Stegostoma tigrinum: one gene and its partner. The protein of the gene in region 1 purifies or fractionates together with the protein of each later gene. This does not show direct contact. Links are inferred from orthologs where the notes say so. Each region holds a gene or a part of one and is shown on either strand. Other genes may lie near its edges.

Region 1 (7,177 bases):
TGCCTGGCCAATGACACCCTCATCCTGTGAATGAATAAAAAAAAACCTTTCCACTGGCAATCCATTCCAAACACACTCCACCCTCTGTGTGTTAAAGTTGCCCCTTACATCCCTTTTAAATCTTTCCCTTCTCACCTTAAACCCAGCCCGTCTAGTTTTGGAATCCCTGCCGTAAGAAAAAGACATTGGTTAGTCAGCCTATCCACACCCCTCATGATTTTATAAACCTCGATAAGAGCCGTCTCAGCCTCCGCTACCCCAGGACCATTGACTCCTGTAAGAATTTTGGATGCTTCACAATCCTGGTGTCCTTTTTGACCAGCCAAAGAATTACTTCCATATTATAATGTCCCTTAACATCCCCATGCTTCAGCCCATGAAACCTTCATCCATAGGTCAGTTACCTCCAGATGGATATTGCAATACCCTGGCTGACCTCCTATGATTGTAAACTTCAGCTCACCTACCCGTGTCCGATCTCACACCAAGTAAAATTGACCTTCTATCCTGACCTAACAAACCTGTTTTATTTAAATAATGAATTGAGTTTAAAACTGCTATCCTTAGTTTCAATTCTGTCAATAGCTTCTGCGTTCCCTATTTCTGAATCTCAACATTTTTAATTGTCACTCCTGAACTTAAAAGAGATCTTTGGGGAGAGAAATCCAGATTTTCACTCCTCTTCATGTGAAAACGAGTTTCCTGACATTGCATCTGAAGGACCTGGCTCAAATTTTAAGATTATGCTCCTTCAGTCTGAGTTAACATTTTAGGTTCAGTAACCCTTTCTGCACAACATTCTGAAGAAAGGTCACTGGCGCCAAAACATTAGCTCTACTTTCTCACCACAGATGCTGCCAGACCTGCTGTGTTTTTCCAGCTTCTGTTGTTAAGGTGATCCTTATTTCTCTTCTGGTCAGCACACTGCTTCAGTCATCTTTCTCTAGATGCTTCCACTGGGTAGTAAGAGGCACAAAAGTGGTTGGTTCACTCAAAGTATTTGACTTTTCAGTTAAATCTCACATCTTACAACAACTATTGAATAAAAACCGAAAGAGCTGCGGACGCTGTAAGTCAGGAACAAAAACAGAGTTGCTGGTAAAGCTCAGTATATCTGGCAGCATCTGTGAAGAAAAATGTCAGAGTTAATGTTTAGGGTCTAATTACCCTTTCTCAGAACTGATGGGAGCTGGGAAAATGTCAGTGTATATGCAGGAAATAGGGACGGGGTGGGGTATAGAGAAAACAATAGGATAGAGCTGAAAGAGAGAGATGAACAGTTGGACAGATAAAGGAGTTGATAATGATCTGGTTAGGAGGGTCAATAGTTGTTAATGGGGACTGTTAGTGACAAACAACAGGCTGTGTGTAATGGCAGGCTATGTGATAACAGGGCCTGATGTGTGAGGTAGGGGGCAGGGACATGGGAGAGTTTAGACCCTGAAATTATTGAACTCGATATTGAGTTAGGAGGGCTGCAGGGTCCCCAAGCGGAAAATGAGGCGTTGTTCTTCCAGCTTGCGCTGAGCTTTGCTGAAACACTGTAGGAAACAACTATTGAAGGTCATGTTCTTCACGTTTACAGGGAGTTTTAACTGCAAAGAAAATAACAAGCTACTCCTCCCAGCTGGGGAAAAACTGAACACTTCTCTCTTTCTGTAACTTATTCCCAGTTCTAAGTTGTTACCTGTTAGCAGCAAAAATGCCTCTGTCATCAATAACAGTTTACTAGTCCATAGATTAACCAAATTCTTGTTGCCAAAAGTTGCATCAGCACTGTCCTCAGCCTCAAATCATTGAATCTGATAAAAGAGAATCCCTACTGCATGTAAGCAACCTATTTGGCCTATCAGGTCCACACTAGCATTCTGAAGAGCATCCCACCCAGGGGCACCCAGCCCCATCCTTGTAACCTGCATTTCCTATTAGCCTTAAATCCCTGGACACTATGGGCAATTTAGCAGTTTAGTTTCAACCTGCACATCTTTGGATTGTGGGAGGAAACCCTTCAGAGATTGTGCAAACTACAAGGCAGCCACCTGAGGGTGGAATTGAACCCAGATCCCTCGCATTATAAGGCAGCAGTGCTAACCACTGAACTATCATGCTGCTCTCCCAAACTTCAATTACTGCTTGTTCAACAGTTATTTACACAATGCCTACAATAGTTATTTATTTTCAAAATATACTACCCTTTCAAACATTAATTTTAAAACAACTGTCATTTCAGTCCACAGTATTTTAAAAACAAACACAAAATTTTAAAAAAAGTGATATTGACAGTGAATACTAGTTGTAATTCACAGTATATTTTGATTGCAATCAGTCTTTTACTAAATTTGACTTCTACTGGGATCCTTCCCTTTCCTCAGTTACTCCTCTGTCATGTGATTGATGTATTTGTTGGTCTCTCCCTGCACAGATATTTTTGGAAACTATTGTTCACATGAACAATTTTAGCAAGTATGGTCAGTAGCTATCATTAGTGTGAATTCCTCGTGTGAGGCTGATTTCTTCTCATACTTGCTCCTTCTAATACCTGAAACAGAATACAAATAATGAAACTATCATAAAGTGTTGAAAGATAACCTATGTGAGTTGCTAATGTCCTTTAGGTCTGGCCCATATAAAATTTCGAAATTGCAGCAATGCGGTTGATTCTTTACTGCACTCTGAAATGGTCTAACAGACCATTCAGTTTAAAGGCATTTAGAGATGGACAACTAATACTTGCCTTGCCAGTGACTCCCACTTCTTTTGGAAGAATAATACAAATTTGGGTACATGCTGGCTGTTCAGTTAACTATTGGAATGATGCATGTCTGTTGTACTTGCCTTGTTTTATAAAGATCTATCAGACTTAGACTTGGAGATAGCAAGAACTGCAGATGCTGAAGGCAGAGAAAACACATTGTGAAGCTAGGGGAACACAGCAGGTCAGGTAGTATCAGAGGAGTAGGAAAATTGATTTTTCGGGTCAGGGCCCTTCTTCAGAACTCTTAAAGGGGTTCCAACCCAAAACATCAACTTTCTGATGTTGCCTGACCTGCTGTGTTCCTCCAGTTCCACATTGTGTTGTCTCAGATTTACACTTGACAGGACTTGAACCCTTCAGGACTCAAGAGCCATGTAAGTCATCTTAGTACAAAAGTAAAATATTGCAGATGTTGGAAAACTGAATTAAAAATTGTCAAATGTTGGCTAGGCAGCATCAGTGGTGCAAAAGATGCTGGCTGCCCTGAATAAAAGCATGCTGTTAATTCCACTAATATTCAGGAGAATGGTTTCAGCATTTTAGTTCCAATTCCTGTCAGTAAGAAATCACTGCAAGTACTTGGACTGAAAAATGACCTGATCTATACTAAACTGGAGAGTTAGATGAGCTGAAAGCATGATTGAGTATGCACCCACAATGCCTTGAGGCAGTGCATCCAAATCCTAACCATTTTCTACACAAAAAGGGGTTTCACTTTTTTGTTGCTTTTCTGCCGATCATCTTGTCTTGGTATTCTCTGGATCTCGACCTTTGTACGAGTTTCAAGTCTCTATCTACCTTGACTAGTTCCCCTCGTTATTTGTGAACACTTTTATCTAATCTCTCAACCTTCCCTAGGATGGGAAGTACTTTTTGAAGTGTAGGTTTTCTCCTGCTGTTCTGTTCTTCCTGCCAAAGGGACGAGTTCACATTTTCACGCATTAGACTCCATCTGCCAAAGGGAGGTAGTTGCTCTGAGATCTTTCACATCTGCAAGATGTGTCAGCTCTGATAGTGCTGGATGTGGACTGTCAACCTCGATACAGTGGGCCTCCTAACGTGTCAAAAGTCGCCTTTAGAAAGCAGATTTTGGATTTTATATAAAATCTGCGAAGACTGCATCAGTTATGGGCTCAAGACTCTGGATTGGGTCTTGAACCTATCAATTCTCCTGTTTCCGACGCAACATAATAGCCACAGAAAAAATTATTTTTAATAAACTTCACAACAAGACGTCGACGGGATCCATAAACTGCCGGCTGCTGTCACCCAAATAACATCCAGCGCCATACTGCAAGCAGTGTCCGTTTTTTTTGGGGGGGGGAGGCATAGAGTGGCGGACCGGCGGAAGTGTGTCCGTGGGGGGAGGTATTGAGTGGCGGACCGGCGGAAGTGTGTCCGTGGGGGGAGGTATTGAGTGGCGGACCGGCGGAAGTGTGTCCGTGGGGGGAGGTATTGAGCGCCGGGCCGCCATGGAGGTCGCTCCTGGTCCAAGGAGAGCCGGTAAAAATGATGATAAAGATAAAGGTAAATGAAGAATTGGAGGAGGTCAGGTCTGCGGCGGGGTTGGGGAGGATTTCTGAACCAAAAAAAAACATACAAAGAGTTGTGGAAATCTGAAGTAAAAACCAAATTGCTGGAGAATCTGAGGTAACAAGGTGTAGAGCTGGAGGAGCCGAGCAGGAAGGCTGATGGTTCGGGCCTCGACCCACCTTCAGAAACTGAGCTCGAGGAGCTCACCAGGTTTCTGGCAGCATCTGTGGTGAGAGAAACAAAGTTAGTGTTTCGGGCCCAGTGACTCTCCTTCGGAATTTCAGTGATTTCTGTTTTTGTTGGGGATTTCTGAAGCCGGCCTGGCCTTGGGGGAGGCTCCATTTGTGGGTTAGGTTGGGTCCGGGGCGGGGGGGATGCGTAGACCCGGTGGACGAAGATTTTGTGAAGTCTTTGTTGCCGTTTACTTTATCCTGATTCGGAAGTTGATTCCTGAAATGTTCCTGAGCAGAGTCACTCGTTTTAACGAGCTTCTCCATCACTCCGCGACCTAAACTGCTGCCAAACCAGGTTTCCGCTTAAAAATTACCCTCATTTGTCACTATACTTACTGTCCAGATCCTAAAATTTTTGATCTTGTCGTGCTGGCATTGATATTTCTCACCATCACTTTAAATAAGTGCCCTTATTTAAAGGGGACAATTTCTTCAATTTACCCTGCCCAGACTGCTCTTGAATTTGAACACCTTGGTGAAATTTCTCCTCAACTTAACAGCCTAAGCATTTCCAGTCTTTATTCATTATTCTTCATGAGCAGGTACCATTGGTAAGGCCAACGTTTGTTGCACCTCCTTTGAATTGCTTGAAGTAGTATATGAATCAGAACAGGAGTAGGCCATTCAGCTATTCAAACCTATTCTGCCATTTAATGAGATCATAGCTTTCTGATTGAAACCTCATTCACATTCACAGTTACAACTGACAGCCTTTCAATTCCTTGCAGAACAACAAACTCTCTACCTCTATCTTAAAAATAGTCAAGGAATCTGCTTCACTGCCTTTTCAGGAAGAGAGTTCTGGCGAGACATGACCTCTGAGAGGCCAGTTAAGAATCGACCACATTACTCCAAGGCACATGTAGGCCTGATTGGGTAAGGATGTTAGTGAACCAGATGTGTTTTTACAACAATTGATTAGTTCTCTGGTCACCATTACTGAGACCAGCTTATAATTCCAAATATAACTGCCGAAATTTAAATTCCACCAGGTGCCACTTCGGGATTTGGGCCCATGTCACCAGCACACTGGCCTAGGTCTCTGGATCACTAACCCAGCGATTTAACCGTGACATCACCATCTCCACAGCGCCCCCCCCCCCCACCCAGCTGAATTTCTTCATCCATGAAATCATTCTCATTATTTTTTCCAAACCCTTCACTTCTATTCCAGAACGTGATGCTGAGGATAGGCCATTATACTCCAGTTAAAAGGGAACCAGTGTTTTATAGTGGTTTATCAAAAGTCATGCCAGTGTCAAGACTTCCCATGATAGCCTCTAATGAAGAACCTGCCATCAAAACCACCTTGCTTTTATATTCTGTCTCTCTTATGATTGGCCAAATGGCTTCCTTCTGTGCCATAACTATTATGTGATCATTTGTTCAGTGCGTGTTAATTTTGCCCAGGATTATCAGTTCTAAACTCGTTCCCATCACTCACTTTAAACTGACTGGTCTGTTGTCACTAGATTTATCTTTTACATCCTTTTTGAGCAAGGGTGCAACAGTTGCAGTTATCCAGTATACCTCTGAGATACTCCAGTATTTGTTGAGGTTGAGATTATGGCCAATATCACCTCAGTTTTCTCCACTACTTCCATCATCTATGGATGCATCCTCGTGACTTACCACCTTTTCATCCTTTCTTACTGCATCTCTTTGTCAACATCTGTACGTATCCACGATCCTGCTTAACTCCTCTTTCACTATGACTTTACTAACAGCATCTTCCTTGATAAAGACTGATTCAAAGTATTCTTAGCATTCGTGCTTTAATCCTTAATTAGGTTTTACTCTTCTTACACTTTTACTGCTTGTGTACTTATCAGAAACTTCTGGATTCTTTTCTTTTTCGTTAATTACTAGTTTTTACTTTATTCAATCTCTTTGCTGCACTTCTTTTCTCACTTTACATCTAAACTTTCTAAAATTATCCTGATTTTCACTTCTGTTATTAACCTGATAGTTGTTATGTCATTTTCCGATTGTCAATCTTTTGTAAATTGGGGCCTCTCACTTTTTTTGTACTACTGGTTGGCCCTTGTGGTAATGTGCCACTGGACTGTGTTTTTCTCATCTTTAAGGACAACCCATTGCTACATTGAAGTTTTGCATGCAAATCATTAATCCTAGTTTGTCTGATTTGTATCTGTTCTTGACCCACTGAAACTGTCCCTTGTCCAATTCAGTGTTTATATTTTTAATTGCTCCAGTTTGAACATTTTAATACTATGATTGTGGTTCTCCAAAAGTTCCCTAACTGACATTTGCCCCGACTTATTTCCTGAAGAGTACAGTTGAAGAATCGTACAATACAGAAGAAACTCCATAGCCCATTGAGTTTTCCCAAACACATTTCTGAAATTCTCTTCCCACTCTGCCTTTACTGTCCTCATCTACATGAGGATCAATAATATCCCCTATTACAGGGCTTCTTAAATGGGGTTTGGCACCTTGAACAAAATCATGAGTTCAGGTAGCAATGACCTACATCACTGATCTACACTCTCATTGGTCTTCTCCTCCTCCCTCCTTGCCCACCCCCTACAGCCCACTGAGTCAGATGATCATTTTTAAGCCTTGAAATGGGATCACAGTCGGAATTGGCATTGGAAGCAATGCTTCAGTACAATGACTTCATTGTTCATGCACT
Region 2 (7,805 bases), on another chromosome or scaffold:
TGTTTTGACAATGGACTAGAATTCCAGAGACCTAGGCTAATATACACAGGATAAACTCCATCCCTGGCAACTGGTGCCATTTAAATTTGAATTAATACATTTGGAATTAGTCTTAGTAATAGTGACCCTGAAATTAATTTTGTTTGCTAATTATTAAAAACCCAAGATAATAAAATGTGAGGCTGGATGAACACAGCAGGCCAAGCAGCATCTCAGGAGCACAAAAGCTGACGTTTCGGGCCTAGACCCTTCATCAGAGAGGGGGATGGGGGGAGGGAACTGGAATAAATAGGGAGAGAGGGGGAGGCGGACCGAAGATGGAGAGTAAAGAAGATAGGTGGAGAGGGTGTAGGTGGGGAGGTAGGGAGGGGATAGGTCAGTCCAGGGAAGACGGACAGGTCAAGGAGGTGGGATGAGGTTAGTAGGTAGCTGGGGGTGCGGCTTGGGGTGGGAGGAAGGGATGGGGGAGAGGAAGAACCGGTTAGGGAGGCAGAGACAGGTTGGACTGGTTTTGGGATGCAGTGGGTGGGGGGGAAGAGCTGGGCTGGTTGTGTGGTGCAGTGGGGGGAGGGGATGAACTGGGCTGGTTTAGGGATGCAGTGGGGGAAGGGGAGATTTTGAAACTGGTGAAGTCCACATTGATACCATATGGCTGCAGGGTTCCCAGGCGGAATATGAGTTGCTGTTCCTGCAACCTTCGGGTGGCATCATTGTGGCAGTGCAGGAGGCCCATGATGGACATGTCATCAAGAGAATGGGAGGGGGAGTGGAAATGGTTTGCGACTGGGAGGTGCAGTTGTTTGTTGCGAACTGAGCGGAGGTGTTCTGCAAAGCGGTCCCCAAGCCTCCGCTTGGTTTCCCCAATGTAGAGGAAGCCGCACCGGGTACAGTGGATGCAGTATACCACATTGGCAGATGTGCAGGTGAACCTCTGCTTAATGTGGAATGTCATCTTGGGGCCTGGGATGGGGGTGAGGGAGGAGGTGTGGGGACAAGTGTAGCATTTCCTGCGGTTGCAGGGGAAGGTGCCGGGTGTGGTGGGGTTGGAGGGCAGTGTGGAGCAAACAAGGGAGTCACGGAGAGAGTGGTCTCTCCGGAAAGCAGACAGGGGAGGGGATGGAAAAATGTCTGGGGTGGTGGGTGTCGGATTGTGAATGGCGGAAGTGTCGGAGGATAATGCGTTGTATCCGGAGGTTGGTAGGGTTCACCTGCACATCTGCCAATGTGGTATACTGCATCCACTGTACCCGGTGCGGCTTCCTCTACATTGGGGAAACCAAGCGGAGGCTTGGGGACCGCTTTGCAGAACACCTCCGCTCAGTTCGCAACAAACAACTGCACCTCCCAGTCGCAAACCATTTCCACTCCCCCTCCCATTCTCTTGATGACATGTCCATCATGGGCCTCCTGCACTGCCACAATGATGCCACCCGAAGGTTGCAGGAACAGCAACTCATATTCCGCCTGGGAACCCTGCAGCCATATGGTATCAATGTGGACTTCACCAGTTTCAAAATCTCCCCTTCCCCCACTGCATCCCTAAACCAGCCCAGTTCATCCCCTCCCCCCACTGCACCACACAACCAGCCCAGCTCTTCCCCCCCACCCACTGCATCCCAAAACCAGTCCAACCTGTCTCTGCCTCCCTAACCGGTTCTTCCTCTCCCCCATCCCTTCCTCCCACCCCAAGCCGCACCCCCAGCTACCTACTAACCTCATCCCACCTCCTTGACCTGTCCGTCTTCCCTGGACTGACCTATCCCCTCCCTACCTCCCCACCTACACCCTCTCCACCTATCTTCTTTACTCTCCATCTTCGGTTCACCTCCCCCTCTCTCCCTATTTATTCCAGTTCCCTCCCCCCATCCCCCTCTCTGATGAAGGGTCTAGGCCCGAAACGTCAGCTTTTGTGCTCCTGAGATGCTGCTTGGCCTGCTGTGTTCATCCAGCCTCACATTTTATTATCTTGGAATCTCCAGCATCTGCAGTTCCCATTATCTCTGATACTATTAAAAACCCATCTGGTTTCTAAATAAAAAAATGTCATTCTAACCTGGCTTGGCCTATAAGTTATTTCAGACACACAATGGTCAACTCTTAACTGCTCTCTGTAATGCTCTCACAAGCCACTTACTCCGAGGACAATTAGGGATGGGCATCAAATGTCCCTGAAAGAATAAAAAATAAGACACTCTCCTTGCTTTTTGGGTGCAATCAACAGTATCCAGTGATGGTTCAGATTCCTCAATCTAAGGCTGCCTGACACCACATTTCAAGGGTAAATGGGATGAATTGGTGGTCTTCTGTAAAGAGAGTACCAGAGTCATCCTGGATACATTTATGAGTTGAGAATTTGATTTTTCATTAAGATGCCCAGTAGATCCCTGAAGACTGAGGTTATCCAATCTCCTTGAAAGAATAAAAGAACAACTTATAATCTAAATGAAGAGAAACTTCAAAATGCTTTGGAGCAGAGAGATCTGGGTGTCTGAGGTTATCCACTTTGGTCACAAAAACAGGAAGGCAGATTATTTTCTGAATGGTGGCAGTTTAGGAAAAGATGGGGTGCAACAGGGCCTTCGTGTCACAGTGGAATGGTCGCTGAAGTTTGGCATGCAGGTGCAGTAGGCAATGAGCAAAGCTAATCACATGCTGACCTTCATAGTGAGAGGATTTGAGTGTCAGAGTAAGAACGTCTTGCTGCAGTTATAGAGAGCCTTGGTGAGGCCACACCTAAGTACTGTGTGCAGTTTTTGTCTCCCAGTCTGAGGAAGGACATTCTTGCTTTTGAGGGAGTCCAGCGAAGGTTCACCAGACTGATTCCCAGGATGGCAGGACTGACATATCGAGGAAAGACTGGATTGATTGGGCTTGTACTCACTGGAATTTAGAATAATTGGGGGGGGGGTGGGGAAATTCTCATAGACATATAAAATCCTGATGTTACTGGACAGCCTAGATGTGGGAAGAATGTTCCTGATGTTGGGGAAGTCCAGAACTAGAGATCATAGACTAAGAATAAGTGGTAAGCCATTCAGGACTGAGATGAGGAAGAAGTTCTTCACTCAAGAGTTGTGAGCCTGTGAAATTCTCTCCCAGTTGGGGCCAGTTCATTAGATATATTCAAGAGGGTGCTAGACATGGCCCTTGCTGTTAAAGGGATCAAGGGCTATGGAGAGAAAGCAAGTTTGGGACACTGAAATTGCATGATCAGCCATGATTATATTGAAAAGTGTTGCAGACTCAAAGAGCTCAATGGTCTACTCCTATACTTACCTTCTATGTAATAAGTAGGATAAATGGAATTTAGGCAATTACTGTGCAAGAAATGGGGTATAAAAGCAGGGAAGTGTTATTGTAATTGTCCAAGGCAATGATGAGATTACATCTGGAGTGTGGAGTACAAAAAGAACTTAACCTCTTTAACAAGTGCTAGCCGTGCTTCTAGAATTCCTAGTTTAATTGCGGAACCCTCTACATTCTCAGTTTCCATATTGCAGATTCTCTATGCACCTGAAATAATCTGATAAAGGTGGCTAATATCTTGATAAATGCCTGATCAAATCGCTTCTCACCATGTCGCCCACACTCATAAAAAAGGGCCTAAGGCAGCCATTCACTCTGCAACTATGCAGTAGCAACATGAGTAGAATTCTATCAAACAAGTGACTATGGTGGTGTACGATTTCCAGTGTCAGTATGATGTAATGTTATGTAGGTCAAAGATTCCAAAGGCTGACAGGTCATATCAAACAGTACATCATTTTGTTGCTTGCAGGAAGCAAGTTACAATACATCGTACAAGACATTGGTAGGGCCACAGTTGTAGTATTGCATACAATTCTAGGGTAAAAAATATAAAAGATGTTCCTGAGACTGTAAGGTTTGAGTAGAGAGTCTATGACAATTTTCCCCTGGAGCATAGGACACTGAGGGATGATTTTATAGAGGTTTAGAAAAATCATGAGGGGTATAGCTAAGGTGGATAGCCAAGGAAATTTTCATGAGAGTAGGAGAGTCCAAAACAAGAGCACACAGGGTTAAAAGTGAGACAGCAAAGACATAAAAGGGACCGGAAGGGCACCTTTTCCCCCCCACACAGTGGATGGCAGGTATATGGAACCAGCTGTCACAAGTTGTGGTAGAGTACAATTACATTTTTTTAAAAACTGAAGTACCTGAATAAGATAATAAAATGTGATGCTGGATGAACACAGCAGGCCAAGCAGCATCTCAGGAGCACAAAAGCTGACGTTTCGGGCCTAGACCCTCCATCTCTCACATTTTATTATCTTGGAATGCTCCAGCATCTGCAGTTCCCATTATCTCTGATACCTGAATAAGAAGAGTTTAGAGGGATATGGGCCAAATAGGACGAGTTCGGTTTAGGAAACCTGGTCGGCATGAACGATCACGGATAACAAAGTGCGGAGCTGGATGAACACAGCAGGCCAAGCAGCATCTCAGGAGCACAAGAGCTGACATTTCGGGCCTAGACCCTTCACGAAACATCAGTTTTTGTGCTCCTGAGATGCTGCTTGGCCTGCTGTGTTCATCCAGCTCCGCACTTTGTTATCTTGGATTCTCCAGCTCTGCAGTTCCCATTATCTCTGATCACAAATGGATCTGTTATTACAGATGCTCCAAATCACAAACCCTCAAAATCAGGGGGCCGCTTTTTATCGCTTACCCCTCCCTACACAGTGTGACTTCCACGGAAATTACTTCCGGATTCACTGATCCATTACTGCGCCTGCGCGATATGTAGGTGCCTAAATATGTCGCCAAGAGATTCGAACCTGAATCTCATTGAAAAGCTTCTGCGATATAATCTCATGCTGAGGTTTTATTTTAGCAGAATGATTTGATGATACTGGCTGTTTCCTGCTAGTGGGCATTTCCATAGCCACCCCGCTTTCCCGCCCCCGCCCCCAAAACCAATGTGTGGGTCCTCATCGTTCACATGCTGTGTTAAGATGGCGGATCTTCAAATGAAAATTATCCGCAAAAAGTTGCAAAAGAAAAACGCCAAAATTAAACGGATCAATTCAGCGGTGGGAGAAAAAGGTGAGTGTGAGGCGGGCAGAGGGGGCGAGTTGAGGTTGAAAATCTTAATGTGAGTGAATGTGAGCTTGCCTTCATGGTCACACAGCATGGAAACAGAGACTTGGGTCCAACCAGTCTTTGCTGACTATGTTCCCAAACTAAACTTGTTTCACGTGCCTGCGCCTGGCCCTTTTCCCTTCAAACCTTTCCTATTAATGAATTTATCCAAATGTCTTTTAACCGTTTTAACTATCCCTGTGTTCACCACTTCCTCTGACAGTTCATTTGCAAGTTCGAACCACTCTTTTTGTGTTTAAAAAAAAGTAGCCCCTCGTGTCCTTTTTTTAAATCTTTCTCCTCTTACCTTAAATATATACCCTTTGTTTTGAACTTTCCCACCTTAAAGTCTTTGCTACTCATTTATGTTATTTGTGATTTTATATCACCCCTCAACCTCCCAGCCCCCCCCCCCCCCCCCGTGGAAAAAAATCCCAGCCTATCTTTATAACTCAAGCCCTCCATTCTTGGCAACTTCCAATAAATCTTTTCTGAACCCCTTCCAGTTTAATAATACCCTTCCTATAACAGACCTGCACACAGCACTCTAGAAGCGGCATCACTTAACATCCCTTGCAACCGCAACATGATGTCCCAACTTCTTTAGTCAATGGTCTGAGCAATAAATGCCTTCTTAACTGCCCTGTCAAATCTTAAAGAATTATGTACCAGAATCCTTCGGTCTCTGTTCTACAACTCTACCCTGGGCCCTACCATTAATGTGTAAGTTCTCTGCTCATCAGCTCTCACTACCAGCCCACCCTGTTCACTCCCAACTTGTTCCTGCATTTGCTCACCCCTCCCCCAAATCACCTTCTCCACATTCACTCCCCACCCTCACCACTCCATTCACCCTTCAGATCAGCCATGTTCTTGTTCAGTGGCAGAGCAGACTATATTTCAAAAACAATGTTACTTGTGGATTGTAAAGTAATTTGGAATGAGCTGAGATCAGTGAAAGAGCAGTGCAAGATTTTATGCTGTTTGTGGAGTTGGTTCATTTATATTTAAATTGTAGTTCCATAATATCAGAATTCTAGATTGTTTGTTTACCTCTAACCAAGTAAAAGTTCTGACTCTGTGTACGACTCTGATGCATGCACCTGGTCTGAACTTGGACTGTATATGAACAAATTAAGTTTTCTGTTGACAGTGGTCAAACAAAAGAATGTGGAAAATGAAACACTGCAAGAGTCAATAGGTGATCAAGAAAGCACTCCAAAAGAATTGAAAGAAGAACAAAGGCTTACGAAGGATGAAAGCGAACAAAAACCAGTATCAAATATCAAAAAGAAAAACAAAAGAAAGCTTGCAACTAAAATTCAGGAAACTGGTAAATTTGCTTTGAGTACTTTAGTAATGCACGTGCAGTAGTTTGTCAGATTTGAGTACAGCTGGAGTATTGGTGAAAATATAAGCTGGTGGAGCTTTTCATTTTGCATTCATTGAGATAGAATACCAAATTTCAGTGGTGGAAAAAGACATTTTATGCTACATGAGAAACATCAACATGTGCAAATGCTGAGGCCCTGATTGCCAATGAAGCTAATTTGTAGTACATAGAGATGCTAGAATCATAAAGTGTATTTTGACCAGTGAAGGTGGGCTCGTGGTTCTGTGCTTTTCAAATTTTTTTTTTTCCCCCACTGTGACCTGTTTCACAGTTTGAAAGTTATGACATGAACCTGGTTGGTGTTGAGGAACTGAGAGTCAGAAGAAGGGGTCTCAGTTTTTCAGGGATTATTACAATCCTATCTTTTCACTTGCTTTTTTGTTGGGAAAAGAATTGGGTGCCGAAAAGCTCTGTTAGGCCATGCCCATGATTTCAATGACAGGATTTAAGATGGACTCACAGCCGGTGTTCCCTCTAATTAGTTCTCTTCTGCATGGACTCCCTGAATCCGTGTGCAACATCAGTCCCTAGAGCCAGAATTCCATGCTGCAGTCTGCGTCACCACCACAATCACAGTGTGTGGAACATCACAGTTGTTAAAGGAAATGTTGTTCAGAGCTGTTAACACTTGGCCTGAAGCTTCATGGCAGGCGTTGCTGGTTGAAGCTCATTACCCCAGAGATTGGGATGCCTTGTGGTAAATCGTAGAGAATCCATTAGTGGATTTCGCAATTACGACATACAGAAATAGAGTCTGTTAGACTGCTCCATTTCAAACATGAAATTGTGCCCATTAAGGTGTGTGTAGATTGCAGATTCAAATATAACAAATTTATTAGAAACGTGCAAGAAGCAAGTGTTATTCCACCGAAACAACTAGTTTTTTTTTGCAAGCTAACTCAAATTTTAGTAATGGCTAGCACTAAAGATGATTCTATGACATTAGTTCAGGCACATATTGTGTTGAAGCTGAAATCAACTGTGTAGGTATCTCGGTTCATAAATTCAGTTAGCACAGATTCAGGCAGTGACGGCATGTCTAGATATGCTAGGATATGGTGTTGCCGCCTAAATGCCTTCGGCTTCCTTGAGCGGCACATTAGTGAATGTGCTAGCAGTGTCCACTGAGCACATGGATGTGGTATTGCTTTCGATATGTAGGTCTACTGTAGTTTTGTGGTGAAGACATCATCTTCATGTATTTGGAAAAGTTGCTCAGAACTGGTTGTACCAAGTCACTTAATTTAGCCAATTTATGAGCAATAATTGCTATCCTAGTTAGTAATACTACTATCCCATGCACAAATTG

The links. Proteins that work in one complex are often made in the same cells at the same time.
Region 2: the proteins of krr1 (region 1) and ddx18 purify together in Homo sapiens (affinity purification with mass spectrometry; 3 studies listed by BioGRID and IntAct, with this or other methods). This does not show direct contact. The link is inferred for Stegostoma tigrinum from reciprocal best matches to the Homo sapiens genes KRR1 and DDX18.

What each region holds. Positions count from the first base shown.
Region 1 is NC_081371.1:47,150,029-47,157,205, reverse strand, and holds the start of krr1 (KRR1 small subunit processome component homolog), read left to right. Parts: upstream 1-4,160; 5' UTR 4,161-4,227; coding exon 4,228-4,282; intron 4,283-7,177. UniProt on the Homo sapiens protein: Part of the small subunit (SSU) processome, first precursor of the small eukaryotic ribosomal subunit.
Region 2 is NC_081360.1:68,634,392-68,642,196, reverse strand, and holds the start of ddx18 (ATP-dependent RNA helicase DDX18), read left to right. Parts: upstream 1-4,793; 5' UTR 4,794-4,940; coding exon 4,941-5,067; intron 5,068-6,256; coding exon 6,257-6,436; intron 6,437-7,805. UniProt on the Homo sapiens protein: ATP-dependent RNA helicase that plays a role in the regulation of R-loop homeostasis in both endogenous R-loop-prone regions and at sites of DNA damage.